2 linked regions of the Drosophila melanogaster genome follow. The protein of the gene in region 1 interacts with the protein of each later gene in a pairwise test. Each region holds a gene or a part of one and is shown in the gene's direction. Other genes may lie near its edges.

What was found.
Region 2: the proteins of Ubc10 (region 1) and ari-1 interact in a two-hybrid assay, tested with the Drosophila melanogaster proteins (one study listed by BioGRID).

What each region holds. Positions count from the first base shown.
Region 1 is NT_033778.4:17,782,135-17,796,093, reverse strand, and holds Ubc10 (ubiquitin conjugating enzyme 10), read left to right. Parts: upstream 1-6,683; 5' UTR 6,684-6,991; coding exon 6,992-7,456; 3' UTR 7,457-7,680; downstream 7,681-13,959. Other genes in the region: Dhit (double hit), read right to left, coding at 490-498, 666-967; CG5033 (uncharacterized protein), read right to left, coding at 3,737-3,890, 3,954-4,249, 4,310-4,797, 4,861-6,175, 6,246-6,347; aft (adrift), read right to left, coding at 7,681-9,300, 9,354-9,794, 9,850-9,891.
Region 2 is NC_004354.4:18,128,083-18,146,697, reverse strand, and holds ari-1 (ariadne 1), read left to right. Parts: upstream 1-9,012; 5' UTR 9,013-9,122; exon of another isoform or gene 9,123-9,333; intron 9,334-9,558; exon of another isoform or gene 9,559-9,647; 5' UTR 9,648-10,037; coding exon 10,038-10,256; intron 10,257-11,358; coding exon 11,359-11,511; intron 11,512-11,572; coding exon 11,573-11,629; intron 11,630-12,337; coding exon 12,338-12,987; intron 12,988-13,326; coding exon 13,327-13,450; intron 13,451-13,511; coding exon 13,512-13,738; intron 13,739-13,820; coding exon 13,821-13,902; 3' UTR 13,903-16,306; downstream 16,307-18,615. Other genes in the region: CG43229 (uncharacterized protein), read right to left, coding at 7,819-8,067; CG43133 (uncharacterized protein), read left to right, coding at 16,561-16,567, 16,621-16,994. UniProt on the Drosophila melanogaster protein: Atypical E3 ubiquitin-protein ligase, which catalyzes ubiquitination of target proteins together with ubiquitin-conjugating enzyme E2 Ubc10.

The sequences.
Region 1 (13,959 bases):
GTCCATTTCCATTTCAACTTCCCTATCCATATCCATATCCATATCCATGTCAGTGGGCACAGCCATAGCCGAAGCCAAAGCCAAAGCCAAGCAATAGTTAAAGCCAAAGCAATAACCATAGCTGTAACCGTGGCCACATCCATGACAGCACTGCGAGAAACATGGACTAATAATATTTCGACTCTCTTAAAAAAAGGGCTCAAACAGACAACCTTTAAAATGAAATGATTTATAAAATAAAAAAATAAAAAATTTGCAAAAAATTGATATTGAAATAAGTAAAAATAAATAAATTAATTAACAATAACGATGTTAATGTAACCAAAGATTGGTTCATCTGTTATAGTATATCTTGAAAATAAAGCTAACTAGGTAAAATAATTACGTATTTAAAATAATTGCGCATTTAATATTCTATACTTTACAGTCCAATAATACCAATCGATTCTCTCGGTGTATGAATGCATGAGTGTTTCAGGAGGTGCTTACCATTTGGCCCTGTTGTCAGGATGTGGTTGGCAGTGGATGGGTATTGGCACAGGTAGTTGTTTTAATGACCGAACGGTTGAGTCAAGGCAGCGCGGTAACGAGAAAGAAATTGATTTCGTGTCAGAGGATTCGAGCGGTGCACAAATAGGCCACTCGGTGGTGGCCTCCATACTCACCAGGAGCAGGAGCAGCAGCAGCACCAGCAGAAGCAGCAAGGCTTCTGCGACTGCGGACGCTGAAACGTGGTCGCGTTCGACTCCTGCAGCACGTTGGACGTGGAGCCGAGGATTCCCACGCTGCCGCCCACGGTGGGCGATACTCCGCCCAGGCTGCCGCCACCTCCGACGACGCCCCCGCCGCCACCGTTCCCATTGCCATTCCCATTGTTGCCACTATTGTTGGCGGCACTTTGCTGTGAGGATGCAGTCATGCCGCGCAATCGACAGCCACTGGGCAGCTCGGAAACGGTGCAGGACATGCCGCTACCTGCAATAAAGGAACAAATTGAAACGTTAATGAACACTGTGCACGGGATGGAGTGGGGGGAAAGTGTGCTGACAGTTGGGCGAATCACAGTCACACTGCAAAAAATAGCTCTATTAGTCATCTAGAAAGAATTGTTAACCAAGGTGCCCGGAACTTAACTACTTAATTGTCTTGGCTGGTGAGTGTTTGTCTTTTTGGTTTGGATCCCATTAATTTGACAAGATGTCATTCAAAAGATACTGAAACTGATTCATTATATTATAAATATTATTATAAATATTATATTTATATTATAAACATTATATTCATAAATATGTTATTTGAATCTAGTCAAAACACCTTTTAAATAAAATTGTAATATTTGTTCTTTGCATTTATCACAAAGAAACTTTATATGAAATTAAAGATTAAATAGTAAAGAAAACTGTTGAATTATTAAAACATTGATTGTTTGTATATTTAATTTACCAAAACTATCAAAATATAATAAATACATATTCGGGAAAGTGTAATCTGGAGGAGTAGGTCCAACTGCTCCCGATTCGCCTCGTTTTCCGTGTGCACTTACCTGCCCTTTGAAAGTTGAGGTTGACGCTGGCGGAGCTGACGGAGATGGTGGAGGTGGAGATGGTGATGGGTGTTGGGTGGTGAGGTGGTGCTGCCCCAGCTGGCGGACCGCCCACTGCCACTGACCTACCCACTCACCCGCTCGCTTTGGTGCTCTTTTCTTTGCTTCGGCTTCTCTTTCTCGGCTTCCTTGGGGATGTGGGGTATGCAGGGAGACCGTTACGTATTTATGTTTTTGCTAATAATTTTTTATCGAAAGTTCCCACACACTCTCTCTCTCTCTCTCTCTCTCCCTGTGGCGCTCTGTCCTCTCTTTCTCGCTCTGCCCACAGCTGCTGCTCTTGATTTTAGTTTTCGTTTTGTTTTATGTTTTTTTTCCTTCTCCTTAGCTTTTCCTTGGGCGATTTTACAAGCCGAAAAATTCCAGAAATTCTTCAAGATTTTTTCGATAACCTTTTCGAGTAGTAGTTATCCTTATCGTAGGTTCCTGACTTCAAACCTTCGCGTGGGTTTGGTTTCCGTTTTTTTTTCTAGGGGGTCTAGCGTTTCTTTAGAGAGTTGACGGTGCGCGGGTGGCATTTACATATTCCGCTCCGGATTTACGGGCGAAAATCTAGCGATTCAATGGCCCCGTGCACCAAGGGGCACATTTCACAAGCGTTACGAAATTTATGAGCAGCTGGAGCTGCCACCGTAGTTGTTGTTCTGGCCTTTATTTATTTCTTGTGCTAGTCATTACACTGCCATTGTATATGTACATATATATGTAGGCGCCGTTGTGTGCGTGCGTCTGTGCGTGTGTGCGTGAGGAGGGGGTGGGCTGGAGTACCACCACATTGACACGCAACTTGGCTAAGTGGAGCGCATTGTTTGGCCCGTTGGGCGGATGGGGCGTATGCGTGATTTTCTCCACTTGTGCTGATGTTGCTGCAACAGCTGCAACATGTAGGCATCAGCAGCTAATTGCACTTGTTTGTAACTCGAAACGCCAGCGATTTTTGGTCGTTGCACTTATCACAAATCAGCTGCTTGGGTTCTTTTGTTGACCATTGCCTTTAGCCTGGCTATCTATGTATATTATATGTATATTTTGTTTTATTTTCTTGTTGTTGAACCAGCGCTTCCGTTCAGATTTTCACTCAAACACCACACACACGTTTATATTTTCTTTGAGGATTTTTGGGCGAATGGGTGGGCGGGAAAAGGGGGTCGCGTTTGTATGTATGTATGTTTTTGAGGAGCAGCGACGAGTACATACGAATTTTTGCCACTAGAATCGGAATCGAAATGTGTATATTTGTATATATTTTTCTTTTTCGCCCCGAAATTGTTTTGCTTGTGCTTCGATTTTTTTTTTGTGAATTTCTTTACGATTTTTTTCGTTGACTGTTGAGAATGTGTGTGTGTGTATGAATACGAATTGGGGGAAACTGCAATTTTCGTGGTCACTGGACTGCCTGGACTGGCATTTTCACATTTTCACATTTCGCCCTCGGCCATATTTTATTATATTCCTTCGTGCTCGGTGCCCCCGCAATGGCAGCCAATTCCCATTCGATTTCTGCGCTCTGCGATTTTGGCTGCTCAGCACCAGCAGCACCCAGAAGCTGAAGCCAAAATCCTCGACGGGTCGATTCGAGCGTTTCGAGATTCTCTCCGCTCGGGCAAAGGCAGGCGACTGATTTCCAAGCAGTGCCGTGTCGCCAGCTCTTGATTTTGATTTTCCAATGCGCGCGCTCCTCCCGAGGAACGCAAGATAACGGCGAGTGGAAAGTGGGCAGCCGGGGGAGGGCTCCATAGGTGGACTGAGCGAAAAGCTTTGTGGAATTGCTATACAGTTAGAATTCCTGGTACACACAGGAGAGGGACTGACAGGCGGAGAGCGCGAGAGAACGGACGGTAAGACATGTGCGCGAGTCGGAAAAAGAGAATAAAGCTCGGGACTCTTCGCCCCACTGGAATTTACCGCAAAGCTTTGGGGCCAGAACTTATAAACTTTCGGCAGGGTTGCACTTACATTTTGATTTTGGGATCCCGTTGATTTCGAAAACCGTTGTTTTTAAAATGTTCGAATGAAATGGTTATATGAAATACTTTACTTTTCATAAAAATTAATATATTTTTTATTTACTATTGAAATTTCACAAAACTTTCGGAAACTAAAAGAAACTTTCTTGGGGTTTGTACACCTAAATTACGTGTATAGTCGGATGGTACTGTCCGCGCCCGTGGAGAAGACCCATGGCTGCACCGGATGCCAGTTAACATCCAGCACACCAAACTCATCGCGTTTCTCGTGTGTTTGCAGCTTCTTGAGAGGCACAATCAAAGGGTTTTGCAGCAGGTCACTAAAAAAAAGTTTGGAGAAATTCGTAATTAACCTTGGGCAATGTTGATTTATAGCCACTTACTTATAGACCATGCCATGGGAGACGATCACAGCCTGGTCATCGCTGCCGGAAGCAAAGAGCGGATATCGAAGATGGAAAGCAACACTGCGAACTGCATTGCGATGGAGTCGCATGGTCTGGTAGGGCTTTGTGGACAGATCCAAATCGAACCAGAGCATCTTTTTGTCATAGGTGGACACCAGCAGATTGTCGCCCTTGGGATGAATAGACATGCCCGATATCCATTTGGAGTTGGTCAGCAGCTTCTTGACAAGCTCTTGTTTGACCAGATCATAAATGCGAATGTTGTGTTGCGTCTGTAAAGAAAAAACAGAATTCAATAAGACATACTAACAAAAGAAAATTAACCCACTTACCGCCACAAAGAAGCAGGGCTTCACCGGATGGAAGAGCACGAATTGGATGAGACCCTTGCTCTTGGAGAATGGAATCTGTGAGCGCCGCTTGGACAACTGATGAATTAAAGCCGAGCGGTTAGCACCTTCGGGCATCACTGTGGCCAAGTAGTCACCACGACCGTGCCAGGTCACCTGTCGGATGGGTTTGAAGTGGGTAATCACTACGCGGACGCCCTTCTCCTGCTCATCAGCTTCCGCATTTGACCATTGCACCGCCGTCTTGATGCGTTCACTTTCAATGACATCCTGACTGGGCGCCTCAGCCAAGAGATCGTCGGTCTTCTTCACCAGCACCTTATCGCCCACTTTAGGATTGACGAGCAGCAAGCGATTGCCAGTGGCCACCGCAATAATAGACAGCTTGGGATTTGGACACCAAGCCACACAGCGTACCACTTCGTCGGTCTCGATTGTGCGAATGCAACGACCTGTTGCAATTTCCCAAACTGTGAGGTGAGATGGATTAGTAAGAAGATATCTAAAAGGTTGTCAATTAAATTAGTACTTACTCTTGACGGTTTTATCATCCGAACCGGAGACGAGGTACTCTCCCTTGGGCTCCACACTAACAGACCGCACCAGATCGGTGTGGCCACGGTAAACCATACTCTCCACCGTGGGAAAGGGTTGCAGGTCACGCGGCGAGGGCAACTTGGGGATAAGGTACTCGGCATCGATGTTCAGCTTGACACGCTTTGCACGGGGACACAGGTAAAGATCCAGGCAACGAAGGAAACGCTCCCGAAGGTATCTCGAGTATGCGGGCACCTCCCTCAGCGACTTGAACTTCTGTGGCATGAAGTGCAGCTTGCGCTTGTGTGGCTCGTCCTTTAGTTTAAGCCACTCCTTGGTCTCCTTGGCATCGAAAAGATACTCTGGCGGTGGATTGTAGGACTCGGCATGACCGGGAAGGTCGCGTTTGGGCGCAGAGACTGGATCGTGGATGCGGCGCATGTGTTCCCGACTGGTGTCCGTTTCCCACAGCATGTAGAACTTGGGACCGCGCTTGGCCTGCTTCTCGCGTTCCACTTCCTCAGTGGTCTTCATCCAGCCCATTTTGAGGGCGTGCACCATGCGAGAGACGCGCTTTTTCTCGGAAACTGAGGGCAGGAAAGAGCGTTTGTGGTCGGGTACGTTCTTGATGGGCATCTTTTCCACCTCCGATGTGAACCATTCGATCCAGGGCTCATACTCTTCGTGATCCTTGTTGGGTATGCGACCCGAAACGATGCGCTTGATCAGAGCAATGTCCTCGTCTGTTAGGCGCACATCCTGACCGGTAAGTGGATCCTTGACGGTACGCCAAAAGTCTGGGTCCTCGATCTTACGCAGGAACTCATCAATTTGATCTCCTTGTGGTGGTTTAATAATCTTCTTGGCATCCCAGTCGTAACCGATGTGCTTGTATTCGTCGTACCAGTGCATGGGTATGTTGCCTACAGTATTTCTTATGTCCTCCTCGTCGGAGGTATCTGAATCCTGATACTCAGGCTTCGAGCTATCCCGTTTCGGGAGCTCTGCTGTAAGGGCTTTTTTAGACGCGGCACCGCTTCCACTGGGCTTATCGTCTGTTTGCTTTGACTTGGAATCCTTCTCCTCATCTTCCACTTCCTCTCCATCAGTGCTTTCCTCCTCTTCATTATCCTCTTCATCACTACTTTCTTCATCTTCCTCAGCTGATGAAGATTGCTTTCTGCCCAAGTAGTTGCCCTCCTCATCGCTCTCGAACTGCAGTTCCTCACTGGAATCCGAGTGGTATTCCTGGTCTATGCCCTCGTCATCTGTTGAATCTTCGCCGGGATCTTTTACAGCTTGCAGCAGGTCCTTAAAGAGCACAAACACACATGCAGGTCATTTTGAAATGACTTTTTATATCACTGTCAATGGGTCTTACCTCCTCCTCCTCCTCGTTTTCGGAAGCCTCGGAACTGGCCACCACTTCATTTGTGGGTTCCGAATCCTTTCCTCTGCGTTTCAGAGCTAGTTTTTTGGTCATTTTGAGGTAAAAACAAAACTAACGCGGCGCACGTGTTGCAGTCAGCGATAGCGATGGGAATCGCCTGAAACGGTTGCCTATCGATTGGCTTGCCGCCACTGCTGCTGGTAATCGGTTACAAATCCATTTGGAAACAGCAACCCTTTTATTTTCATTTGTTACCTCTCTTAAAATATACATCTATAATAAATACTTTCCAATAAAGATTTATTTAGTATTAAACATAATATTACAGCCGTTGCAAGTTGCAAAATCAAGACAAAGTTATACATGACCAATGTATATGTATACCAATTGCAGCGCCGTTGCGAGCAAGTCTGCAAAATACCCTAACGCTAATTGGAAGATTCTTCAACGAACCATTTTCAGCGAAATTCGCAGACTTACGTGCGGATTTTTTTGGGCCAGTGCGAAAACCAAAGGTGACACCCCGCAACTGGAGCACTAGGAGCTCACCAACAACGAAACACCGGCGGCTGAACGAGAGTATTACATATCCGGAAGACAAAACCATCGATTTGCAGCTCACACAAGGGCAAACAAAAGTGCACACGCACACATTGGCAAGGTGGCCCCCTCCTCTTTCCGTTCCACACACACCTACGCACACACCAGCATAAGAGAACCCACACATAGACATCACGATGACTGCGCCGCGACGCCTGCGAAAAGAATTGAGCGATTTGCAGGGCAACGCACTGAAGTCCTTCCGGGACATTAAGGCGGACGATGACAACCTGCTGCGCTGGACGGGATTGATTGTCCCGGACAATCCGCCGTACAACAAGGGCGCCTTCCGCATCGAGATCAACTTTCCGGCGGAGTATCCTTTCAAGCCGCCCAAGATTAACTTTAAGACACGCATCTACCATCCAAACATCGATGAGAAGGGCCAGGTGTGCTTGCCCATTATCAGTACGGAGAACTGGAAACCGGCCACACGCACCGACCAGGTCGTGCAGGCACTGGTGGACTTAATCAACGACCCTGAGCCGGAGCATCCGCTGCGGGCGGAGTTGGCCGAGGAGTTTCTTAAGGATCGCAAAAAATTCGTGAAAAACGCCGAGGACTACACCAAGAAGCACAGCGAAAAACGTCCGGCCGACTAGCGGATAGGCGGAGGTAGAGCTGGAGGAGGTGGGCCAGTCCACAACCCATGTGTACCCTTACCCCTTAGTCTTGTGATTTTTCTGTTAGTTATTTAATTTTCATTCTTGATCCATGAAAAACTATCCTCAGAAAACATTTAAGCAGATATTTCCCCGGCAGAGTACCTAGTTTTGTAAAAGTAGCACTGTAATTTGATGCAAGTGAGAAATACATGTTCGTTATGTTAAAATACAGCTGCCGACTCTTGGATGGAACCGACATCTGAGTTGGATGTCGGAGCTACGGGCATGGGAAATGATTCCTCGCCCAACATGCTACGGAAGCAGGTCATTACAATGCTGTTGTTGTGCTGAATGAGGGCCTTGCTGAACTGGTTCTTCTGCAGCTCCTTAATGTCCAGCAGGCTGTGAATGGCCCCCGCCTGCTCGTCCTTAAGAAGTTCCAGCACCTGTTCCAAGGCACTGTTAGCCGTATCTTTTAGCTTACTCAACGTGAGAGTTTGCGCTTGATTGCTATTAAAACAACAATCCTGATAAACGCTCTCTATGAGAAATAAGAGCAGCGACGCCGCGTAATGGGTGAGAAACAGGAACTTGTGGAAGACAATGCTGTCGGGCTTCAATTTCTTTACTTCTTCCAGGAGATCAATGAAAAAGCGCTGCTGGGCGGTGTGGAATGCCTCGTCTTCTGTTGGTGGCAGGTAGCATAGTGTCTTGCTTTCCAACTGGCACTTTGGCGCAGACTGCCAGACAGGGTCGAGTTCAAATGTGTCCAGGATGCGAAGGCGCAGAATGAGTATTGGTTCCGAGGCAAACATGCTGCTTTGCAGGCTCTGAACAGGTGCTCCTCGTGAAATGTGAAGATTCAAGGGTGCCGTTCTGTTCTTAACGTATGAATACGGTGTTCTATTGTTAAGACACTTCTCCAGTTGATTAAATTCCCGACGCAAGCAGTAAATCTGCTTGAGAAGGTCACCGTGTTTCAAGGACTCCCTTTCTGTGTAGGAACCGCCATAGACAGGCACTTGGAATCCCAGAGCCTTACTGGTGGCCTCCTTGTCCACGATGCACAGGCTATCTTCTAATGGCTTCACTTTGTATAGACTGTAGTAGGTGTTCGCGACAAGACTGCGCAGGTGATGAAGATGTCTCAGATAATGACGATCATTGGACTCGTAGGCATAGATACTGCCCTCGATGGCATCCGTTTGAAGCTTCATGTACATACGGCAGGCGATCTCGTGCTGCATGAGAAAGTCGTGGGGAATCTGGAACTTGGCAAACAGTGGCATTACCAATGTGTCATTCGGCTGAGCAAGCTTGCTCTTTATCTCCTCTAGCAAACGAGGCAAGTCGGGATGGTCCTTGTTGTAGTTCAGGCAGATAACATACACTTCCGAATTTCCCCGCTTGGAAGTAGCCGGCTTAAAGATGTGTACCTCCTCAAAGATGCAATTGAGTGTATAAAGTAGAGATACACTGCAAGCCTCGAAGAGGGTAAACATCTTCACTAGGAAGTTACCGCCACTTGAGAGAATTCTTAAGGCACTGAGTACTTCAGCAAAGAAAAGGCGAACCACTATCTCTTCCTGGCAATCAGGCTGTGCGGCACAATCGATGGAACCATCGGCAGTGACAAGATCCACCTGTCCCTGGAACTCCACCTCACAACGTTCCACCAGGTGGTCAATGTTGGCCACATCTAGTAGATTTCCAGTTAGATCTTTGTGAAAGAACCAGTTGTCCAGCGTGTGGACGATGAACCTGTCATCGCTGATCATCTGGTTTATAGCATTGCCTTCATAGTACGGATTCAAAGTAGTTGAGCGCCAGCGCCATTTAATCTGGAAAAAAGAGTTCCGTTCTCGTATCTCTCAAGGATGACTTGATAACTCACCTCATCCTTTTCATATTTGCTATGAAGGTAATGATTCAGAGATGCTATGAAGGCACCGGGTGCCTCGCAGAGATGCATACTGTTGACAGCCGGCTTCGTGACCAATGGATAACGATGCAGGCACTCGAACAACTTGCACCATGCCACAGTTACAAATTCGGCCTTCGTGTCGTTTTTCAGGCGCCAGGACACCTCGCCAGAAGGGTCACGCCTGTTGGTGTGAGCACTCCATTCCTGCACGCCATAGTCATTGAGTTTGCTTTTAACCGCATTCAGCTGCTCGCGCAGTCCCTGCAGCGCCTCGAACTGGTAGAACTCACTGAAGAGAGCCTGATCCGGTGGCGGCAACTGCCAGGATTTGTTTCCTTTCGGCTTCTGATAGTGGAACTTCTTCTCGAAGAGCTGCTCCACTTCGGAAGGCCGGATGGACTGATAGTCCGTCTGTAAAGTGTGAAATGTAATGACTGACTTGTAGGATGTAGCATCCTTTACTCACCATTGGGTGTGGCTTTCCCTGCGGAGACGAACGAAAGCTCATTCCGGCTAAATTTAAATGCGAGGCGTCAAAAACAAAGCGATCTGCGACACAATAGAGATGGAAAAAGCTCAAAGCGATCCATCGCCTAAATCTTAGCGACGGTAACTAAAAATCGCAAACGTTATCGATTAAGCTATCAAATTTAAATTGATTTTCCGGGCTGCAATGAATAATTATTTTATATCTCTAATGCAATATTATAGCTAATTCGTAGATGCAGAAGATTTGGCTAGACGTTTCCATAGCTTGTATCTGAAGATGAATGGAATAAGAACAAAAGCCATCAAGAATTCCATCTTGTTTAAAAGTTAAAGGTTGAAAAATAACTTCAGCCAATATGTTAAATGCAATTGTTTTTTTTTTTTGCCGCATATTTCTTTTAAAAATGTTTCTTAATTCTAGGTATTTTTCGACTAATTCCCTTTATCAAAAGAACAAAATCGCTATCTCCTGTAGAAATGTAACTTCCTTTCCACCTTCGACGGCGATGATCGTCAAAGGCATTTCCCGTAGATGCCCGATGGTGGAAACGTGGAAACTGATTTCTTTGATTCTATGGAACTATCCATTTAGAAAGCGCACGGCAGGCGACAAATAAGGTGCCTGCAAAGTGTGCGGTTACGAAACTATTGGTCATCATCCGTTAGTGATTCGATTGTGCATACTAATATTTCATTAAAATCTTATTTTATTGATGCGGATAGCCCAAGTACGGAAGTTGGAGAAATTGTCGGAAAGTTACATATACATACATATAAACTTACACTCCCAATCGGAATGTGGTTATGTCTTGGGGTCTCGGAATTTCAGCATCGACCATCGTGGCCAATGGGTTTACTTAATACGCGCATGCCTTGCCGACTTTATGGCCATTTGAAACGTGAGTCGTGTTTTTATGAATAATAATAACGATATTCAAATTATGAGTTTCCAATGCTGACAAAAGAAAAAGGATCGCATTGGCTACCGCAGGGGCATCACTCTTCCCTTGGAACTCGACATCGGTCTTGAGTAACGTTCTCCGCCTTTATATACATATATATATATATATATATATATATGCACATAGCTCCCTCTCATATACAAATAGCAGTCGTAGCATATGTGTACGTACATATAGGTGTAAGTACCCAGGCCGGTATATTTGTGCCCAGTTTGTATATAGAAGAGTCCGGCACGTGACTGTTTTGTATAATCGCGCATAAATATCTGTAATGTAATGCCTATAGATAATGGTTCACAGCGACGGAGCAACAAAGTTCTGTAGTTACTTCGGCTTAATCGTCCCGGCAAGATCTATGTATGTATCTTCGTACTCCTTGGACATCTTCAATAGCTTCGAGCGGAAGTAGCAATCGCTGCGCATGCGCCGTGTTTGGCGTTGAATGGTGGCCATGGCCAATGCATTTTTGGGGCCCCCCGATGGCGAACCGACAAATTCCAATTCCGAAACGACAACGACTGGTACGTGGACACGGCTATTGTTGGCCACAAAATTTTATTTCATTTCATATTTTTCTCAAAAGGGAGTTCATTAATATTCCGGGCAGACGGCGTTGCGCTAAAAAGCGGCTTAGCCTGGCCGGGCACAGCTCCATGTATCTACGTCTCCGGCCCTCCACCCTTTTTTATTCCCCCATTGGCTGGGCTGGCTACCTGTCGCCATGCACAGGTAAGCCTGTACTGGTACAGGTATCACCCCCACACTGCGACGGTGTGCGTGAGCTGGCAACGGACCGCAATCCCCGTTCATTCTCCATGTGTGAGTGTCAAATGCCAACTAATTGAAACTTCTTCAATTGCCGAGGTGTGGTGCTGAGCTCGCCGCTCGGCTTCGGAATCAGTTGCCAATTAGTCTCCACCGCTGACGGATTACACTTGCCATCGTCTGGGAGTCCAGCGCTCCAAGCCCGTCATCTATTCCAACAGCAGCATATACAGTATAATTCGCTTAGCTGCATCGATAGTTAGCTGCATCGGCAAGATATCTGCATTATTTTTCCATTTTTTTGTGTGAATAGAAAATAGAAAATAGAAAAAAAAAAATTAAGTTAGCTGCATTTTTAAGTTACCTGCATCGAGGCATTGTGCAAAGTACTCGAGGCAGCTAAGCGAATTATTCTGTATACACATATGTACGATGTAGGCACACAAAACTTGTTAAGTGCTTTTCAAAACAACAAGCCTTTCATTGATAAAAGCCATTGGATAACAAGCGAGTAATAGACGAGCATTTGTGACCAGTGAGAATGTTTCGGTGAATTGTGAACCAAAACGGTTGGGGTTTCGTCCATGTCGGATCGATCGTATATCAACTCCGTTGGTAAATTGGCAAGATGTCGGCATAGCTGACGTTGAAAAGCGATTTTGAAGAGCGCTATGCTGCATCTAGTCAGTTGTTCAATGGAACAGTCAGCGAGATCGAACAGAACAGTAGTGGAGTTTTAAGCTCCATCGTAATCTCTTTTTTTTGCAGATATATAATCATAAAATATCTGAAGGGATATTAAAACATTTATCGATTGGAATATTCGCAAAATGTGGAACAGTTTTTGCATTTTAAAAAACCGTTTTTCGAATGTTATAAGCAAAAGCAGTAAATTTACGAAGTATTTTTATTTAATAAATATCTTTTAATACAGTATAATTCGCTTAGCTGCCTCGAGTACTTTGCACAATGCCTCGATGCAGGTAACTTAAAAATGCAGCTAACTTAATTTTTTTTTTTTAAGGAAAAATAAAGAATTTATTTCTTTATAACAATGTTAAACATAAAAGGAACTGATAATTTCATTCTTAATGATAAGTAAGATCGACATATAAATTTAAGTGATGGTGAATTGATTAAAACACTTTTTAAAACTAACTTAAAAATAGTCAGTAATTTTTTTTTGCAATACAGCTGAGTTTATATGTAAATTAAACAGCTTGTCTTCCATAGAATTCAAGTTTTGCAAAAACTCATCATTATTGTTTCGCATAAAAATGGACTTTAAAGCCTTAATTGCTGCAAACCCATCCTTAAAAGTAGGACGCTCAGTATCGTCCACATCTTCATCACTATGGCTTTCTTCGTTATCGCTGGTTTTTGCATCTTGAACTAAAGAGCGCACGATTTCATCATCATCTAATTGACCATGGCAAGCCTCATCTGCATCAACATTGGCATATTCATTCCAATTAATATTCGATACAATGTCAACTTCTACGCATTGTTTGTCTTTTTCAGCAATGGTGTCTCCTTTTCTTTGACGCTTTCTTTTTAAACCTGACGCGGCCACAGCTTCATGAATTTCATTTGTTTTTTGTAAAATGCGGTTGACTGTGGATCTGTCGCATTTGAATTTGGCACAAATTTCCTTTTTGTCCACTTTGTTGGTCACTAACTCGATTATTTGAAGCTTTTCCTTTAGTGTTAGTCCAACGACACGCTTTGTTTTACCCATTTTAATAACTTTGTGTCATAAGAAACAAAAACACAAAAATCACGATCAAAGCAAAAACAAAAACGGACATGCGCAGATACTGAAACGAGTTGGCATTCTTGCCATCTTTTAGATATGCAAAAATGATTCATAGATGGCGCAGCTAACTTTGATGATATTCATTGAAATTGGCAAAAAAAAACAGCTGATATGATGCACTTAAGTTAAAAAGGCTGTTATCTGCGATGCAGCAAACGTATGAATTTTCGTACAAATTTTCTATTCACACAAAAAAATGGAAAAATAATGCAGATATCTTGCCGATGCAGCTAACTATCGATGCAGCTAAGCGAATTATACTGTAGTAATCATTTTAGTTTTTTGCAGATGTGATTCTAAATTTGAAATAGTTATCTCCATATAATATTTATGAGATATAAAAAGAATAAATATTATGTGCTGCGAAGTAGAGGCGTACGCAATCTTGTTTTTCAGACATGATCTGGAATAAAGGAGGGAAAACTCTTCTAAAAATTTTGGAATATAACAATTTGGAAAAATGGAACCATTTTTATATGTCTTCCCGATTCCACGGACAATTGAATTTAAATAAACATAGGCACTCATTATTGCTGCTTATATA
Region 2 (18,615 bases), on another chromosome or scaffold:
TCGGTTGGAGGCAAGTTTAAATTGAGTGACATTTTGCCGCAATTGACTGTGCCGAAAGTTTTGTGACTCCCCCGCGACCCTCCATTTCTACAATTTCTCCACGATTGTTGGCCAAACTGGACTGGGACCATCCATCATGGCCACAATTTGTACGGAGCATTGGATGGCGCAGATAAGGTTGGCTAGCTGAAATGGCAAGCCCTGTTGCATGTCCCAACTGTCACACGGGCGAATGTTGCACATTAGGTACGTTGGATGGAGGCGGATGATGGTGTTGCTACGAAACTAGATATCAATTACACAACCTACTAGGCGAAATTCAGAATCCATGTGGCCCCCACTAGCTTAGCAAAGTTCTCGGGAAACAAGCGCCAAACTATATTTGGGTTCAGAAGTTGGACAGATTATTTGTGGGACAGCAGGATTAGGTCAAATACAGACTACAGACTTTTGATCAAATTTCGTGGGACATGAAGAACTCTTGAGTTTTCAAAATAGTAAAACATGTATTATTCGCTTTAAAGTCAAGTATAGCAACTTTTTTGCTTTCCCCAGTCAATCCTAACTAATATTTCCAAATCCCAGGCTATATGTGAGCGATATTGATCTTCACATATTCCAAAAGTATTGTATACTTGGTGGATTTTTCAGCTGTCGAATACGCATTTTTTGGGGCTTCGAATTTCCACTTACGTGGCTTGCGTCCGTTTGTCCGCATGTCCGTATGTTTTTGGGTGTCCGTAGTCGCGTTTTTGTCCGTGCCGCGGCTTGCACTTTTGCTGCTCTATTTCCTTTCGGTTCTATTTTTTTTTTTTTGGCCATAGTCCCCAGCACTTATTGATTGTTTTTTTTTGTTTTTTGGGGGGGGGGGGGTTTTCTTGGGTCTAGTTCGGTTCGGTTCAGTACTGTTTGGTTTGGTTTGGTTGGGTTCGCATTGGTTTCGATTCGGTTTCCTTGGATGTCCTTGACTTTTGCCTGGCTCGCACTTTGCGAACACTTTTTGGCAGCCTCATTGCCAACGACCGCCCGCTTTTCCCGCTTTCCCGCTTTTCCGCTTTTCCCGCCTTGTTATTGTTGGCTGACCAACTTGTGTGAGAGTTTGAAAATAGTTTGCTTTCTTGTGCCTTATTCTTTTTTATGTTTTTTGTATTATTATTTTTGTATTTTTTTTTTTTACACGTTTTGGCCGAGTGACTTCTCTTTGTGTGTTTGTCGGGGAAGGTGGGGGGAATGGTTGTCAGCTTTAAGGCAATATTTCGGCTTTGTTTCGCCTGCAGTAAACATTTCATGTTGATGTTGATTGTTTGAGGGCCAAATTCGCCTTTAAACGACGGACGGGGGCGTGTGCCTTTGTCTATTTTGGAAACTCTTGTCGGGAAAATATCAGCCGAGTTCAGGCGAACTAAAATGCCAGTCGCACAGTCTGTGGTCAAAGTCATCGCTCCATGGGCAGCCAAAAACTGAGCATAAACAAGTACGTCTTCTGGCAATAATTGACCATACAATAAACACTGCTGCGCAGCTCTTCCCTTTTAATGGCGAGTCAAAGTACTTTGATCATTTTCTTTATTGCTCTAAGAGCTTTTTTTATTACTTGGTTACATTCGCGTTTTTTTTTTTTTTTTGTAACTGCAAAAAGAGCAATTTAAAAACGTTATTTACTTAGTTTACGCAACTTGTCACGGTCAAATAGAAATGATCTGGTTTCTATAGAAAATATCCCATAAAATTAAGTACAAGAATTAGTTGCTTAGCAGACTCTTAAAAAGAAAAGGGTGCTGGAAAGGTAAACATTTTTCGAGAAAAATGAAAATTACAAAAGTCTTTGAAAGACTTAAAAATGGGGAAAAACTTACCGAAACTCGTGTAAAAAATAATAAAATGGATAAAAAACATTTAAAAATACATCAAAAGCATGCTACAATTTGATGCTGCACTTCGTAGGCCACAAAAACGAAGTAATATCTTTCACTGCATACTTTTAGACACCTTTGCGGATAAAGTATCTAGTAGATACTATCTACCACTAAGCAGATACTGCTGCCCAGCACTGTATCTCGTACACTTTGTGAGCTCTGACTTGCAACTTTTTTCCCCATTTCGCTGCCCTTCTGCCCGATTTTTTTTGTTGGCTCTTTTGCTGTTTTATATTCTCAAAGACATATGCCGCTGCTGCAGGACTCGCAGATAAATTTTTCCTTGGTTTCGGTTTGCGTTCCTTTCACTCGTTTTTCCTTTTTCTGCGCTATGTGTGGTAACTTTATGAATATATATATATATATGTTTGTATGTATGTGCATACATATGTATATTGTATATGCCAACGTACATTTATGCATGGTTCTGCCCCTGCGAGTTTTGTATTAAAAATTATCAAAAATAGCGAGCTAGAAACGAAAAGTTTTTGCCAAAGTTGACCCGGGTCACACGTGTGCTGTCGGTTTTGCGCTTTGACCCACCGTCCTGCTGTTTTTCCTTTATTGTTATTTATTTCATTACGCATTTTTGGTCGTTTTGTGTGCAAGATTTGGGTCTCTCCCTTTCCCTGTGCTAATTATTGAGCTCATTTCGCTGGCTTTCTATATGCACACGTGTGCGCGATTGTGTCTCTGTGTGTGTATGTTTCTCTCTGTGTGTGTGTGTGTGTGTGTGGGGTAGTCCCTAAAAGTATGCTGTGTAAATGGAAGACGGCTGTCTCATAAATCTGCCCGCGCATGTGGACAAATGTCCAAACAATTCGCACACAACAAATTCATTTGCCACCCAAATGGGCGGTGGGGCGTGGCCATGCCGCTGGCATCATTTGTATTCCATAATTACTTATTTACACACACAGAGAGAGAGCACAGGAATTAATAAAATCGGTGGGCGTTCCACAAATCCCTTTCGACCGCAAGGCAAATCGGAGAAATCAATTGATTTCAGGACGAAAAGGTAAAATTCAGGGGTACCGAATCATTTTATATTCAAAAATAATGTGCTGAAATCGTTAATACATTTGATGTGCTTTAATATCGAATACATTGTTTTATCTGTCTGTTCTTATGAAACATGCCAAGTGAAATAATTTCGAAAGGTGTCTAAAAGTATGCCATACAAAATGGCATTTCGGCATTGATTGAGTCAGATTTAAACTCGTCGCATGTTTTTTTTTATTGAGGACCTAAGTGACTTTAGGCGTCTTTTCGTTTCAATTTGGGTTCCATACCATACCTTTTGTGTGCCGTAGCGAAAAAAGCAGCAGGATGAAGTCGACGGGTCAACAGTTTCCCAACGACAGTGCGTGGGTAAGACTCAGTGGTGCCGGTGGCGGCGGAGGTCAGAGGTTAGAGCAAGACGACAGCCTCAAGTTAATTGCTTAATAGTCGAGACATCAATAAATCAAAGAAAAATGCGCGTAAGCATAAAGCAAAAAGCGGCGTCGACAACAAAGAGAAATGGCTGTTTGGGTTGGGAGCTTTTGGGGACGAGGTGTTTTGCGGCTGCCTGCGCAAATGCAAACAGACTGATTGATGGCGGCAAGTGATTTATTTATGTTAATGCGAAGGACTCACGGGAGGGTGAGACATGGTGAGGCGACATGGCATCAAAGCCAACGAGTGCTGACAGGACCCTCAATGGAGCATTGGGATCCACGAAAATATCATTTTCATATTCCAAGCTTACTTCATGGTATCCATCGAATTGGTCGCATATCATTTCTAAGTTCAACATAAACTCTTTCTGAAGAGTTGTAAAGAGTTGCATTAACAAATTAATAAACGCATACTCTTACTATTATTATCATTATATACACTCGATATTGCAAATCAATATTGTAATACAATTCAAGCCGAATATCTAAATTGTAAATTCATAAAGCTCATACAAAATATAGCCATTCTTACCTTCGTAATTGTACAAGAAAATCACCAAAAACTTTGAAAAAGTTAAGCTTTCCGATCTGAATTTTTCAAAAGTCCGATCGACGAAAACCAAAAACGATAGAAATTAAATCCGTATAACTGAAAAATATTTACCTCATACCAAAACAAAACCATCATCAAACTTGTATACCATGCTAATTAACATTTTTGGGAAAGTTTAAACCCGTTTTAGTACTTCGATAGACGATAACCAAAATCGATAAGGTTGTCCATGCTCGGCGGGAAAATGGCCAAGATGCCAGCTCGCAGTTGGGAGTGGGTCCGAAGCGGGGCTTATCGTTGCGTAGGACTCCCGAACACCCACATCCCCATCCACATCCACATCCACATCCACATCCACATCCACATCCAAATCCAAATCCAAATCCAAACCCACTCCATTCCACTTCGCATTCCCATTCCGCGGGCACTTTGGCATTTTCACCTGCGACATTTGTCGCTGTACGTGATTCGACCGACGATTAATCAACTGCGTGGGCGCCGGCGGGAATGTGGGATGAACTCCGATAACAGGAGCACACGCACGATTTCGATGACGATGTTTGCCTGATTCGAAGAGGATTCGCAGTCCGCATTAAAATTAACAACCTGTATTCCGCGCAAAAACCAAAACAAAACCAAGGAATTTATTCACTATTTTCAAGCAATTGTTCATCTTTTTTTTTTTTGGCTTTAACAACAATTTGTAGGCTCGCTATTTAAGGTGCATATTTGATTTGTTAATTCGACGAGCTTGATCCAAATGCCCGATAAAACAGATGAGGGAGGAGTAGGGGGGTGGTGCTGTGTCAGCCAGGCGACAAGAAAGACATCAAATGAATTTTAATACGCGCCTGGGGAGCCGTCAATAATTAATCGAACAAATGGGCAGCGGCGAGTCCGAAGTTTTTGGATATCCCCACCTCATCTTGGCTGCTTTATTGGCGGCGCTTCAATAATTGATTATGGCGAAATGGACGGCGGATATGGTGCAAGTTCATTCAATAATAATTCCAGATTCGCCAGCGACAACTTTGTCGTGTTGGTGGCGCCTCCACGACTGCCGAAGAACCCCAACCCCCCACACCCCCCCAAAAAATCGCTGCAAAATAAGATTGGGGCAGAATGGGCATGAATAAACATCAATAGGAATTTTATTGTGAAAATATTTGTCGCTGCCGGTACGGTAGGTCAACAACAACAACAACAGCAGCAACAAACAGATGACGAATTCTACACCGAAAGAAAAAAGTACAATGAAGTACAAACAAATAAATAAATATAAATATAAATATCTCTGTAGGTAGCATATTCTAAAAACCATTTTGGCTTTTATTTAAGTTTTGCAGTTTACCGTATTACAGTTAAAATCCAACCACTGTCATGCTGATTTTCTTTATATTTATCCGCAAGTATGGGGAAACCATGTGCGAAGTTTTTCTTCGAGTGTACAGTTTCCAGCCTGCCAATGACCGCAGAAATACAAAAAAAAACAGCGAATGGAAGGAGAAATTATAGAGCAAACGAAAGTCATGGGAATTTATTGCTGTGCTGTGAGCAAACAAAAAGAAAGAAATATCATACAAACAGTTCACTTTAATAGCTTACACTAGCAAATAATTCCCCAAAGCCATAAATATGTACATATGTACATATGTATGTATGTACATTTATGTTGAACTTTTGTACATATTTACATTAAGCTATTTTCTTTGCTGATTGCTTTATCTTTAAAATTGTAAAAGAAATGGAAGGCATTTAGTCTATTTGGTTTAGGCATAAGTAAAAACTGGCAATCTGCTATTAATTATATAAATATTTTGTTAAGTTAGATGTTTGTTGTAAACAAATGCTTGAGAAGACATTATTCCAGATTCACTTGCGACTTTTCCGCCAATGAAAAGCGAGTGAAAATCGCACTTTTCCAGACGATCTCCTATTTGTCATGTGCTTTTTGCCTTTAGCTTGACCTTTTTTTTTGTTTTTTGTTTTTGTGGCGACGCGTGAACGATGACGTATACGCTCCGTACGCCCGGCGGCAATAAAATTGATGTCACGTTTTTATGACGCCGTTGATGAGTCGTTATCTTTGATTTCAGCACGCAGGCTCGGTCTCCATTTCCGTCTTCTTGCCACGCTTCGCCATTATCCTGTTCCACGCTTGTTTTGCGTCCGAGAGGCGCAAGTTTACAAAGCCGCATCGCCCACACACACACACACACACCCACAGGATACCCGCAAACACACACACACAAAAGCAGGACACGCACACCCACGCAAACAGCGACAATTGCGTCAGGTGGCCGCGGTCTTGTGGTCATCATTCTTCGCCTTTGCTTCGCTCCGCTTTTGTTGCCACTTTTTTGTTGTCCTGTTTTTAATTTACGCCCAGTTCAATTTGCGCTTTTTGTTTTATCTCCCGCTCATAATTTATTGTCTTTGTCTTCTCTCCTCGTTTTGCTGGCATTTGCAAATTGAAAACAAGAAGTGAGCCTCAAGCCGATCGTTGCGACTTAGGGTTACTTGGTACCTTTGGCAGAACAAATACGACAAGAGTTAAGATTAATGTGGTATATCTGCTATCCATATGTGTCCTTAAATACTTGAGCAGTTTATTTTTTAGATACTTGAAAAAATGGAATTTTTTCAACTTTTTTGAAGCAAGTTCGTCTGTCCAGGGTATCTCTCTGTTCATGCGAATACTCGTACAATTCACCCACATTGATCCACGTGTAATCGGCATAAACAGATGCGCGACCTTTGTCGTTGGCAAACAACAGCAACGATTCCTGCCGCTTTTTGGAAACAGTTTCGTTTTTTACACGTTGTTTGTGCTTTTGCTCGCGAGCATGCTTTACGAGCACAGCAGACAACTATAAAACGCAGCCGCAGCATCAGCGAAGATAAAGAAAGCAAGTTCGAGCGAAAAAATCACTACATGGCGGTTGATTGCCCTTTTTCGTTAAAGAACTAACTTCGTAATTTAATTATTTCAAAAGGGATGTAATGAAATAAGCGCTTTATCGCTACTTCTATATTTTTTTAATACATTTAAAAATCAAGCGCAAAAAGCCTTTTGGTGGCTTTTAATCATATTTAAACCTTTGGTTTTATACAAAAAACTGACAATTTAATAAATTCCCAGAAGGATTCTACTATAATTGAATCGGGCAGCACAGACTGGCGTTTCGTGTAATAAAACTTGCCAGCAATTATGGCGTGCCTAATGCAAATTGTAATTAATTCCTGAAATGCAAATTGGAACAATGTATGTATATATATATATGCTTGCATAGGTAATGGCCAACATGGATACATACATATGTATGCATATGTATTAATGTATAAATATACATACAAAGTAATTTAATCACAATTATATGCGATGGCCGGGTTTTAGTGGCAACTGCCTGGTATTACTATTCATAAATGAAAATGACTTAAATACTCCCAATGGAGCGGTGCATTTTTCAGCTGCTTTTTTGTGGCGAAAAAAAAAAACAATGCAGCCATTCATGCGCTCAGTGCATTCGGTAAATTTAACTCAATTGATTGAATTACAATCAAATTGTCATTTTCATTATATGCAAAAATGGTATACATTTTGGTTCATGTTAAAAATGCTATTTAGTAACTGCCGTCATGTAATTTTGTAGTTTTTATTTATTGGTTTTATAATTTCTACAAATGCCTAATATTAAACCAATAGAAAATTATTGAAAACATTAAAATATTTACTTCTGTGTAATGAGGCAAACGCCCAATCAATTTTATAACCATTTTTTTCTCATTAAAAATGTGTCTGCTGTATTTATTTTGCATGCTGATTATTTCCATGCAATCGGTTTTTAGTTTACATATGAATTTTAAGGTGATATTCGTTTAGATATTTGTTTTGATGGTGAATCCTATATCAGGGGCACAAAATAAGAGGCACACAGTGTCCTCGTTCGTTACGGGCATATCCTCTCGCACAATGGCATCCCGATGGGTTTTTCCAGCACCGCTGACTGAACTCCTGGCAGAAGGACTCGCATCGGCAGATCGGGTTGCTCAGACGGCACTCGTAGGGCCCACAACTTCCGGATCCGCCCAGGTCGGCCCGTATGGCTGCCACCATTAGAAGAAGAAGAAATCGAACTGCCATCCAACGAATTTGCATTATGACCGCATTCTGATTAAGCCAGCTGGCTCTTTATATACATACCTTATACACAACAACAGTTGTCAGGTGTTGCAATAAAAACACAATATACAATAAAAAACTTTAAGTGAAATCGAATAAGGCGCCCATTGCCAGTGCAACTCTGTATCAACCGATACAGTATCGATAAGGTATCGATATGGCATCGATACATCGATGTTACAACAGAGTGGCAATTTACCATTGAATTTGATTAACGGTACTTGTGAAACAATGAAAATTGGGACAGTAAAGTTTAAAATAATTTTATTCAAATATATTTTTAGCTCGTGCGAAGTTTTAGCAATTTTATATTGTTCGCCACTTTAAAGATTAAACTCTAACCGCAAACAACCGGAGGTTGCAGTTAAAAACATGAGAAAACGTTTGAGTATAATATCTTGACAGTCGAATAAAAGATCTCAATAATAGATCAAGACGCCTAGTTATCCTGATCAAGAATATGTGTACTTTATGAAGTCGGAAGCGCTTTTCAACGAATCTAGTATACCCTTTAATTCCAAGAATAATTAATAATGTTTAAATAACAATATTTATTTCAAACAGGTTTATGTCTCGGATTGGAATTTGACACTGTGGTTCGTGCCTTTGAATGGATCCCTTCAAGTCTTGTTCTGTAAAGGGATTTTCTCAAAAACTGTTTCTGTAAATTAAGCGCATGTCTCATTTTTAAGATAATCTCTTTTGATGAATACACTGAGAATCAAGAAAACGTTCATTGGAAGCTCACTTGTTTTTGAATCTACTGTTTCCCAGCCGTCGATAAGTCACTATTGCTTTTTTGGCACCCATCGATAAGCAGATGTTGTTAAACATACGATTTAACGGAACGGTATGAAACAGGCGGCAATCGGAACGAAAGTAAATGGGAAAAAAGCGCAAACATGCGCACACACTTTCACGCACACTTGACTCCACTGTGCGAGCGCGTGTGTGTGTGTGTTATTTTTTGAGAAAAGCAAAGAGAGCAAGTGAGAACCAACACCGATGCAAATCATTTTGTTGGCTTTACGGTTAGTTTTTCGTGAAAATTCCATTTAATTTGTGCATTGCAACCGAACTTCGCGACGAAGGCGAGCACGATTAGTGCAATAAGCTAGTGTTTTTTCTTTGGAAAAGTGCATAGAAAAACAACAAAAAGTCATAAGCTTTTCGACTGTGCCTTTGTGTACGTGTGTGTGGCAATACACACGTAATGTGCGCATGTGTGTGCGCAGTGTGCTGGTGTGTGCCATTACCTTGAAAACAAAATAATCTGCCCTAAAGAAAAATGCATTTGTGTACATAATTTCGTTGTTTTTTTTTGTTTGTCCCATCGACGTTCGGTCGATTTTACATGATTTTACACACACATGCACACATTTAACATAGTGTTGTTCGCTGTTAAATCAGCAGTTCGGCCCTGTTAAGCGCACGGGCCAGTGTGACCGTTCTTCTTAAAAATACCGAACCAGTATGACTGCGCTGCGACCGTGCAGGGTCTCGTATTGTCATTAGAAAATCTCACATATTCATTTTTCATTTACAAATAAAAATAGCCAGCACGCAGCCTACAAATTAGCAGCGCACAAAATAAGTTAGTGTGAAAAAGGGAATAGAAGCTGTGCACCAAGTGCAGCGACCAAACACAACTGGCCACGCCACTGCGAGGGCAGCAATAATAACAACTGGCGAAAAGGGCTGCGCAAAAACGTAAACAAAAGCAAGTGGAAAACGAGGCAAAGGAAAACGAAAAGACAGAAACAAACGCAAATGCAAATGCAAAAGTAAAATACTGGAAGTAAACGCTGGAAAACAAAGCCTCGAAAGCTGAAAACAAAGAGGAACGGAAGTGGTGCGGGAGGCGCAAGAGGAACAGGAAGAGGAAGAGAGCAGAAGGAGCACCAGCAGCTGAAGCAGAAGCAGTAACGCAAAACAGAAACCGAAAAATGGACTCGGACAATGACAATGATTTCTGCGATAATGTCGATTCGGGCAACGTCTCCTCGGGCGACGACGGCGATGATGACTTTGGCATGGAGGTGGACCTGCCAAGCTCCGCGGACCGCCAGATGGACCAAGATGACTACCAGTACAAGGTGCTCACCACCGATGAGATTGTGCAACACCAGCGCGAGATCATCGACGAAGCCAATCTGCTGCTGAAGGTATGGCCAAGCGCAAGTACAGTGAACACCCGCTAGTATAACTATCCATCCGCAACTTAACTATCAGTCCTAGGGCAGCCATAGAGGTACATTCTTCACCCAGTCCAGACAACAAAGATAGGCAAGCAGTCACCTTTGATTGCTCTACAGTCAGGCCTTCCTAGCAGGAACATGTTTGTTTCGACTTTCGTTAGCGCTGCGATTTGCAGTGAAAGCCAAATGGCTTGACATAGTTTAGTGGCGTATAGCTGCCAAGAATATCTGATCTGTTCGCCGCTCGGAGGCATCACTGTGTGCAGCACAGTGCATTTGGGCATGTGTATCCGTGAATCGCTTTCCCCACCCCTCGCTCTTGCCGCCCACCGCCCTGCCTGGGATCTGGGATAAGCTGAAGGTCGTCCGCTGATGACTGCCAGTGCCAGTGAAATCGGAACACAAGCACCCAGGCGCACCCAAGGTCGCCAGATCCGCATCCCATATCCGCATCAGCAGCTGACTTGCCCGAAGTTCACTAGCACAGTTTTCACTTTCCCAGATTTCGGGGGATTCCCTTAAAATGGTATTATAGATTCCATTTCAAATGAATACATTAGGATCAATGTAGAATCCATGTAATACTTTTTTGTTTCATTGACATTTAAACATCAGAAAATCTTTCATTGCAATAATAAGCGAAATTCACTTAGCTTGAGTGTTAACTTTCAGTATTGATACAGATCATGTATGTAGCTATCTAATTGTTAGTTAAACAAAGCACCTTTGAGTAACTCTTCCCTCTAAAATTGAATTGTACATACATACGTACTTTTTCTCGATTTCCAAACAAATCGATTAGTTATTAGGAATGCCAAGAAATGTTATATATCCTAAAAATTATACTGTTTAGATAGACCAATTGCCAGTGGTAGTTATAGTGGTTCCACATCACAACCCCATCCACGATTATACATAGGTACTGCTGATCATACTGCTGCTGATCGCAAATGATTTGGCATTGATTTCGATGCCAACTGGGATGCAGCCCCCGCTCTTTTACCCCATATATGTACATATGTGCCATCATCCACTGACATTCGATTTGTTTTGTTGTCTATGGCCACAGCTACCCACACCCACCACACGGATACTGCTAAATCACTTCAAGTGGGACAAGGAGAAGCTATTGGAGAAGTACTTCGACGACAACACTGATGAGTTCTTCAAATGCGCACATGTCATAAATCCTTTCAACGCCACCGAAGCGATCAAACAAAAGGTGAGCCCAGTGCTAAGGCTCCATTTGATGTCTCATCTAATGCGTTTCCCTTCATTTTCAGACCTCACGCAGTCAGTGCGAAGAGTGCGAAATATGCTTTTCACAGCTCCCGCCAGATGTAAGTTGTCATGGAGAAGGGATGAGTAACTCCGTGACCTAATTGCGGTGTAGAATATATTTTCCCGCTGATTAACCACGAATATTTTGGGGGGAAACATGATTTTTTAACTGGTCAATGGTGCCTTATCTGATGACCTGATAATAATGTTAGGGCGTTGCTTTGCTATACAAATCTAAAATATTCTAAAAAGACTTGATTTGTATTTTATCAATTATTTTTATTGGCTTACGTTATCACTAATTTACTTGCTTGATTTACAATTGTTGATTGTTAGCCTGAATTTGGTTATGTAAGCAGTTCAGCAGTAATTCGCTGGAATCCAACTGTCTTGTGGAATCAAACATTTAATAATGTAGTTTAAAAAGTAAAATTTAGTATCACGTTTTAAAAGAGTAGATTGCAATGGGCAACTTTGGGTTATAACAGCAAAGTAAACTTAAATATATTATAGACAAGCTAACTAACAAATACTCAGAGCGTAAAACACCTATGAAAAGTTTAAAATTACCATACGCTATGTAGGTGGTTTTAATTTGCTGTATGCTTCATCATTAAGCTCTCATAGTTCGCGTGATCTTTAAGTATATATTATAGAATACGATTATAATATATTTATAATATTGTATACTCTTTTGCTCCACAAGCAACAACTTCAAGAATATCTACAATGTATACTAATAGCTACTTTCTCTTCGTTCCATTTAGTCCATGGCCGGGCTGGAATGCGGACACCGATTCTGCATGCCCTGTTGGCACGAGTATCTGTCAACGAAGATCGTGGCGGAGGGTCTGGGCCAGACCATTTCGTGCGCGGCGCACGGCTGTGATATCCTGGTGGACGACGTGACCGTCGCCAACCTAGTGACGGACGCACGGGTGCGGGTCAAGTACCAGCAGCTGATCACCAATAGCTTTGTGGAGTGCAACCAGCTGCTGCGCTGGTGTCCGTCCGTCGACTGCACCTATGCGGTGAAGGTGCCGTACGCGGAGCCACGTCGCGTCCATTGCAAATGCGGCCATGTCTTCTGCTTTGCCTGCGGCGAGAACTGGCACGATCCGGTCAAGTGCCGTTGGCTAAAGAAGTGGATCAAGAAGTGTGACGACGACTCGGAGACGTCCAACTGGATCGCGGCCAATACCAAAGAGTGTCCCAGGTGCAGCGTGACCATCGAGAAGGACGGCGGCTGCAACCACATGGTGTGCAAGAACCAGAACTGCAAAAACGAGTTCTGCTGGGTGTGCCTCGGTTCTTGGGAGCCGCACGGCTCCTCCTGGTACAACTGCAATCGCTATGACGAGGACGAGGCCAAGACGGCCCGCGATGCTCAGGAGAAGCTGCGCTCCTCGCTGGCCAGGTGGGTCATTCGACTGTGAACGATGTCACAGGATAGGAACCCCTTTTGTTTTTTTTTTTTTTTAAGTGATACTTGTTGTGTATTATTTTCGCAGTTCGCTGATAATGACGGTTAGCGGTTTATTTTATCTGCTAATTTCTTTTAAGAAAAGATAACGATTGAAAGCCGTAGAAAGGAATGAATCAGCTATAATTCGTAATTAAATTTTATCGCTGATTAAACCTGTAGAATTAGAAATGCTAAAACTAATCAAGGAAACACGAAAGTATCTAGGCAGAAATGTGAAAGTCATTATGGAATAAAACTCAACTGATATATTATCTTCTGCCAAATCTACAGATATCTCCACTACTACAATCGCTACATGAACCACATGCAGTCGATGAAGTTTGAGAACAAATTGTATGCATCTGTGAAGCAAAAGATGGAGGAGATGCAACAGCACAACATGTCATGGATTGAGGTAAGTGGTGAAAACTCGTGACCATAACAATGCGAATTCAGCACACTCATTGCAATTGCAGGTGCAGTTTCTGAAAAAGGCTGTCGACATACTTTGCCAGTGCCGTCAGACTCTCATGTACACGTACGTGTTTGCATATTACTTGAAAAAGAACAATCAATCCATGATATTCGAGGATAATCAAAAGGACTTGGAGTCGGCAACCGAGATGTTGTCGGAGTATTTGGAACGTGATATTACATCCGAGAATTTGGCTGATATTAAGCAGAAAGTGCAAGATAAATACAGGTGAGCGAGCGAGCCATGTCCGTGTCCCCAACATACAAACGACTCATTATCCAAACATTGATTGGTCTCTCCATTCGATTAGGTATTGTGAAAAGCGGTGCTCTGTTCTGCTGAAGCACGTGCACGAGGGGTACGACAAGGAGTGGTGGGAGTACACAGAATGACGCGAGTCATGGCTGGATAACTAAGCTAAGCCGAGCGGCAGGCAATCGGAATGTAGTGCCCGCTAAGCGCCACCCCATCCAGCATCCGAAATGCAGCAAACACTGTCCCCATCCACATACCGACCAACATCCGCCAAGCCACGCAACACACACACACACACACACACACACACTCACGCACGCACGCACTCACGCAGAAATCGAAGCCGAAGGAGTTGAACAGAAGTTAAGGATAATGCAGAAGCTACACAGAAACGCAAGAGAAAGGAGACTCGAAATTCCCAGAAACGCAGGATAAATCCCCATACAAGAGTTGCAAAGCAAAATTGAAGCCATTTCAGAACACAGAAGCCAGAAGGAAATCACCATAAAATCGTAATATATATAAATATATATATTGAATTATATATATTTTTCTTCGTACTAAGCAAGAGCAGCAGCAGGACACGAAGAAGGACAGGATCAAATAGACACTACCAAACACATACTCACACACTCCCACACACACACACACACACACACAGAACCAGTCACAAGGCTCAGAAGCAGAATAGATATATAGTAAATAATCAACAGTTAAAAACTTATTTGATGTTAACCGATTGCAAAGAAATCTTCATGTTATAAAAACCTAATGAAAAACGAAACAAAATGCAAAAATTAGTGAATTCAAAGCTACACGCATGATGAGAAGCCAACAATAGAACCTAAACTTATGTGAAATAAACAAACTACACATGTAAGCAGAAACACTCGCCCAGCTTCCTTTCCACCTGCCCAACTTCCTTCGACCAAAGACAATAGAATAACAAGATGCGTAACGCAACGCGATTTTTTAGCACACATTTTTTTGGCAATGGATCTAGAAGGTGGCTCCAGGCTCTCTCGAATTTTTGAGAGAGAGCGAGAGAGTGGAGAGCGCTACAGCAAATAGCTCTTTTCTACGTATACAGTGATAGCAGACAATTGTATGTGTGCACACGTATGCTTATGCATTGTAAATTTGACCCCCTTCTTAGACTTTAAATCTTTATTATTTTTGATCAATTGGCACCATGCTAAAAATTCTTGTTTTGCATTGCCTTAACGTTATTATTATTTGAAAATAGATTAGAAATAGCCAAATCTATGTACATATTATCACAAAATAAATTTCAAAAATTACTTTATTAGAATATTTGTCATTAGAGTATTCAGCTTGCGGCGTGTGAAAAATTAAATTTTTGTAAAATTTATGTTTTAAATTACGGTAGTTAATATAATTTGCTTTGTATTGAGTATATTTATTAAGTCATTTGACTTAATATGATGTATGTAAATGTACCATTTCAATTATTTAAAATGCACATTAGATTCAGTTGTTTTTCAGTTTTTGTTTTTTTTTTTTTTTTGTATTCCAATTTGATATTTTTTCATCATATTGCTAGTGCCAAACCAATGTAAGGCCGTTGCGCATCTTGTTATTCTAGTGTCTTTGCTTCGACCTTCTACGTCCCTTTTTTTTAACCCGTTTAGGCTTGAGGTTAGCGTTATTGTTCTTTAGTTTCAATCTCAGACCCAGTATGATTTTCGATTTCGAATTTCTTCCAGTTTGTTAAGCCTTTATTTACAAAAAAAAAAAAACAAAAAAGGAAAATGATTTCTTCTTTTTTTTCCGTTGGTTTTCTGTTCAATAAACAATTGTGCCTAGCATATACGGAATGAAAATGTTTGCAATTCGATCGGATAAGCCTTGTTTTCGTGGCGGGAGCAGAGCTACGCCCCCATTCTTAGTTCATATGTAATGGCCTCTCGAATGTTGCAAATCCTTAATGGAGATCAGTGCTCCCAGCACAAATCGAAGAACATGCCGATGCCGGAAACACACACACTGAGTTATATACGAGTAGACGAGGAATGTATAGTTGATGGGGAGGGAGGCGGTGTCCTTGGACCCTTGCAGAGTCCTCCTCCTCGAATCGTTGTATATAAGAGTACAGTTTTGTCCATGGTTTCCTAGCCCGCCCACAAACACACACACACACACACACACACAAAATGACGCACGTATGTATGTACATAACGTGCGGCAACATAACTGGACATGCCACGCCCCCGCTACGAAGGCGTCGGCCCTTAATCTTGTTTCCGTTTTAAGCATTCTCTTTATATTCTAAATACCAATAAATGAAGAAACAATTATATTTATAAACAAACTGAATCCAAATGGAAAACTCATTGACATTAAATTGATGTAAAAAGTTAAAAGTTGTTCGAATTGAAAGAAAAGGAAAAAATTACCATAATGTGGAATACAAAAAGATATATAAAAAAAAGCTGTAAAAATTATGAGAAACTATGTATGTATAATTAAGAAGAAATGTTGCAAAAATTAGTGAAAATAAAAATTTAAAAAAATCTATACAACTGTTTTGATTACTGTAGCAGCAGTATATACACATATGTACATATTTATAGTATACCCAATACTTTCGTGCAATACTTTTCACTGGGCCATATCGCGCGGGTCACTTTCCAGGAATTCATACACTTTTATACATATTTGTTTTTTTTTTTTTACTTTTTCTGGGGCGAAAAAACAAACGTATAAGAATGGTTCACAATCTTCTTTTCGAGATCAGTTGAAGTCGGCACAGCAGCACTACAATACATGTAGCAATGAAGAGTGAGACATTTTTGGTCAAAACATAGTACGAATATTTATTTATTTATTCGCAGTTATCGGTTGTGTAACCTTTTTGGTCATTTGCGCATGTGCGTTTGGATTGCCCCAGATAGCAAGTATTTTGTGGGCGAATAAGTATCCTCCTGGTTATGGCCCAGTAGTCACCGGAATAAAGGCAGTCATCGCCCTCACTCCATGCACCCCCGAGCGAACTCCCACATCCTTAAGTTTCAGATCTAGTGACGAATGCTCCGATAGGTGCCCCGGTCATTGTGCTAGCTGCAATTCCACCTGTATCTTTGGCCACCGATGCGTCTGCGGAGCTGGTATCTACTGCACATGGAATCCCGATTCATCTAAGGTTCAGCCAGGGGCCAGAATCCCAGAAATATGCGAGCCCATTGAGAATTTCATTGAACGCGATTAAGGTACACCCTTATCTATATCATAAATTAAGTGAAATTGAATGCGTATAAAATGTAAAACTATTGAATAATAATTCTGTTTCACCTCCTTTGTAATAGTAGATATACATACATATATATTATTTGATTTTATTTGAAACTTCACTCGTCGCTAAATAATCTGCTACGTGGAGAGTGTCGACTATTAGATACCCGTTACTCAGCTAATGCGGTTGTTACCAAGACTTCACACGAGCTCCACCTAGCGGCAGTTATAATAACATACAAATACAAAACCCCATATATATACACTTGAACAAAATCGACAAACAAAACAAAAACAACAAAATCGGCGATGTACATACATACATATGTACATATGTACTTCTAGATAGGTTTATTTTTAACTCACGCACAGTGTTATGGAAATGGGTCTCATGTAGTTCAGATCAGTGGTAAAAAAAACCATTCTAACACCAAGCAGCTGAATATATGTGAAAATTTATTACGTAGGTGTTTACAATTATTTATTGTTACAGAACGCACAGTTACACAGTTGATTTTCTGTTCACAATGTCATATCCATGATCCTTCTTCACCAGTACACCTGTAAAATATAGATGATATATAATATAAAAAAAGAAATGACTGCCTAGATCCTCAGGTGTAACTTCCTTCTCGCTCACAAATAATCCAATCCACATGTACAGCAGAGGCGCGATTGCTAGCAACTTTTGTTCCGCACGAAAATGTTTCTAATGTAGTTATTATATGGCTTTTAGATTTCTTTGTTTTTCTGCTTAAAAAAAAACAATGTCGATCTAGATAAAAGTTTCAGATTTCCAGCTGTTTCGGGATTATGATCTATTTACCTTTTGCTTTATAATATTGGAAACTTTATGAATTTCATTGCGAAATGTAAGTCACAGAAACTAGGACATAATTAATCTTAATACTGATAAGCAATTTCACATAAATGTCTCCGTATTAATTACTAAGAATAGATTAAATTTCACTTTCTTGAGAACTGAACTCTTCGGTCACGTGATTGATAGAAAAATGTTCAAATTTGTTATGCATGTAATTTTTGGTATATTTTGTATGCCATCCTTATGTTTTTAGTCTTTATTATAAGCCCATTAGCAGACCTAAAGTTTTATTTTTTATACATTTTAAATTCAAGTTAATAAATTACCGTATATCCAGACCATGCCTTAAGTCCTTTTACTTTACAGATTTTAGATTCGCTTGAAGTTGAAGGATAATTTTGGCCACTTTGCGTTTGAAATGCTGAACAAATCCTTCGATATTATTTGATTCCATCAAACGTTGGTAATAATTGCATTAGGCGGCAATCTCTACGGCTTCTCTGCGGCAATCTGGGCACCACGATGATGGAACAATGGCTGGCTGTTGCTTCTATGGCCTCTTACAATAGCCGCTGTCACACGCACAAGAGTCTTAAGTCTAATCTTGTGCAGTGGCCAGCAGCTGCAATAAGCACCTTTCGGTTCCGGACGTGGTCGGTGAATCACTACCATTGCTGGTCGGTCGCCTGGCACACTAATCATCATTGGCGGCGATGGACGGGATATTACCCGTACAGTTCAACGGACATTGCCGAACCGATTGCTGAATATGTGA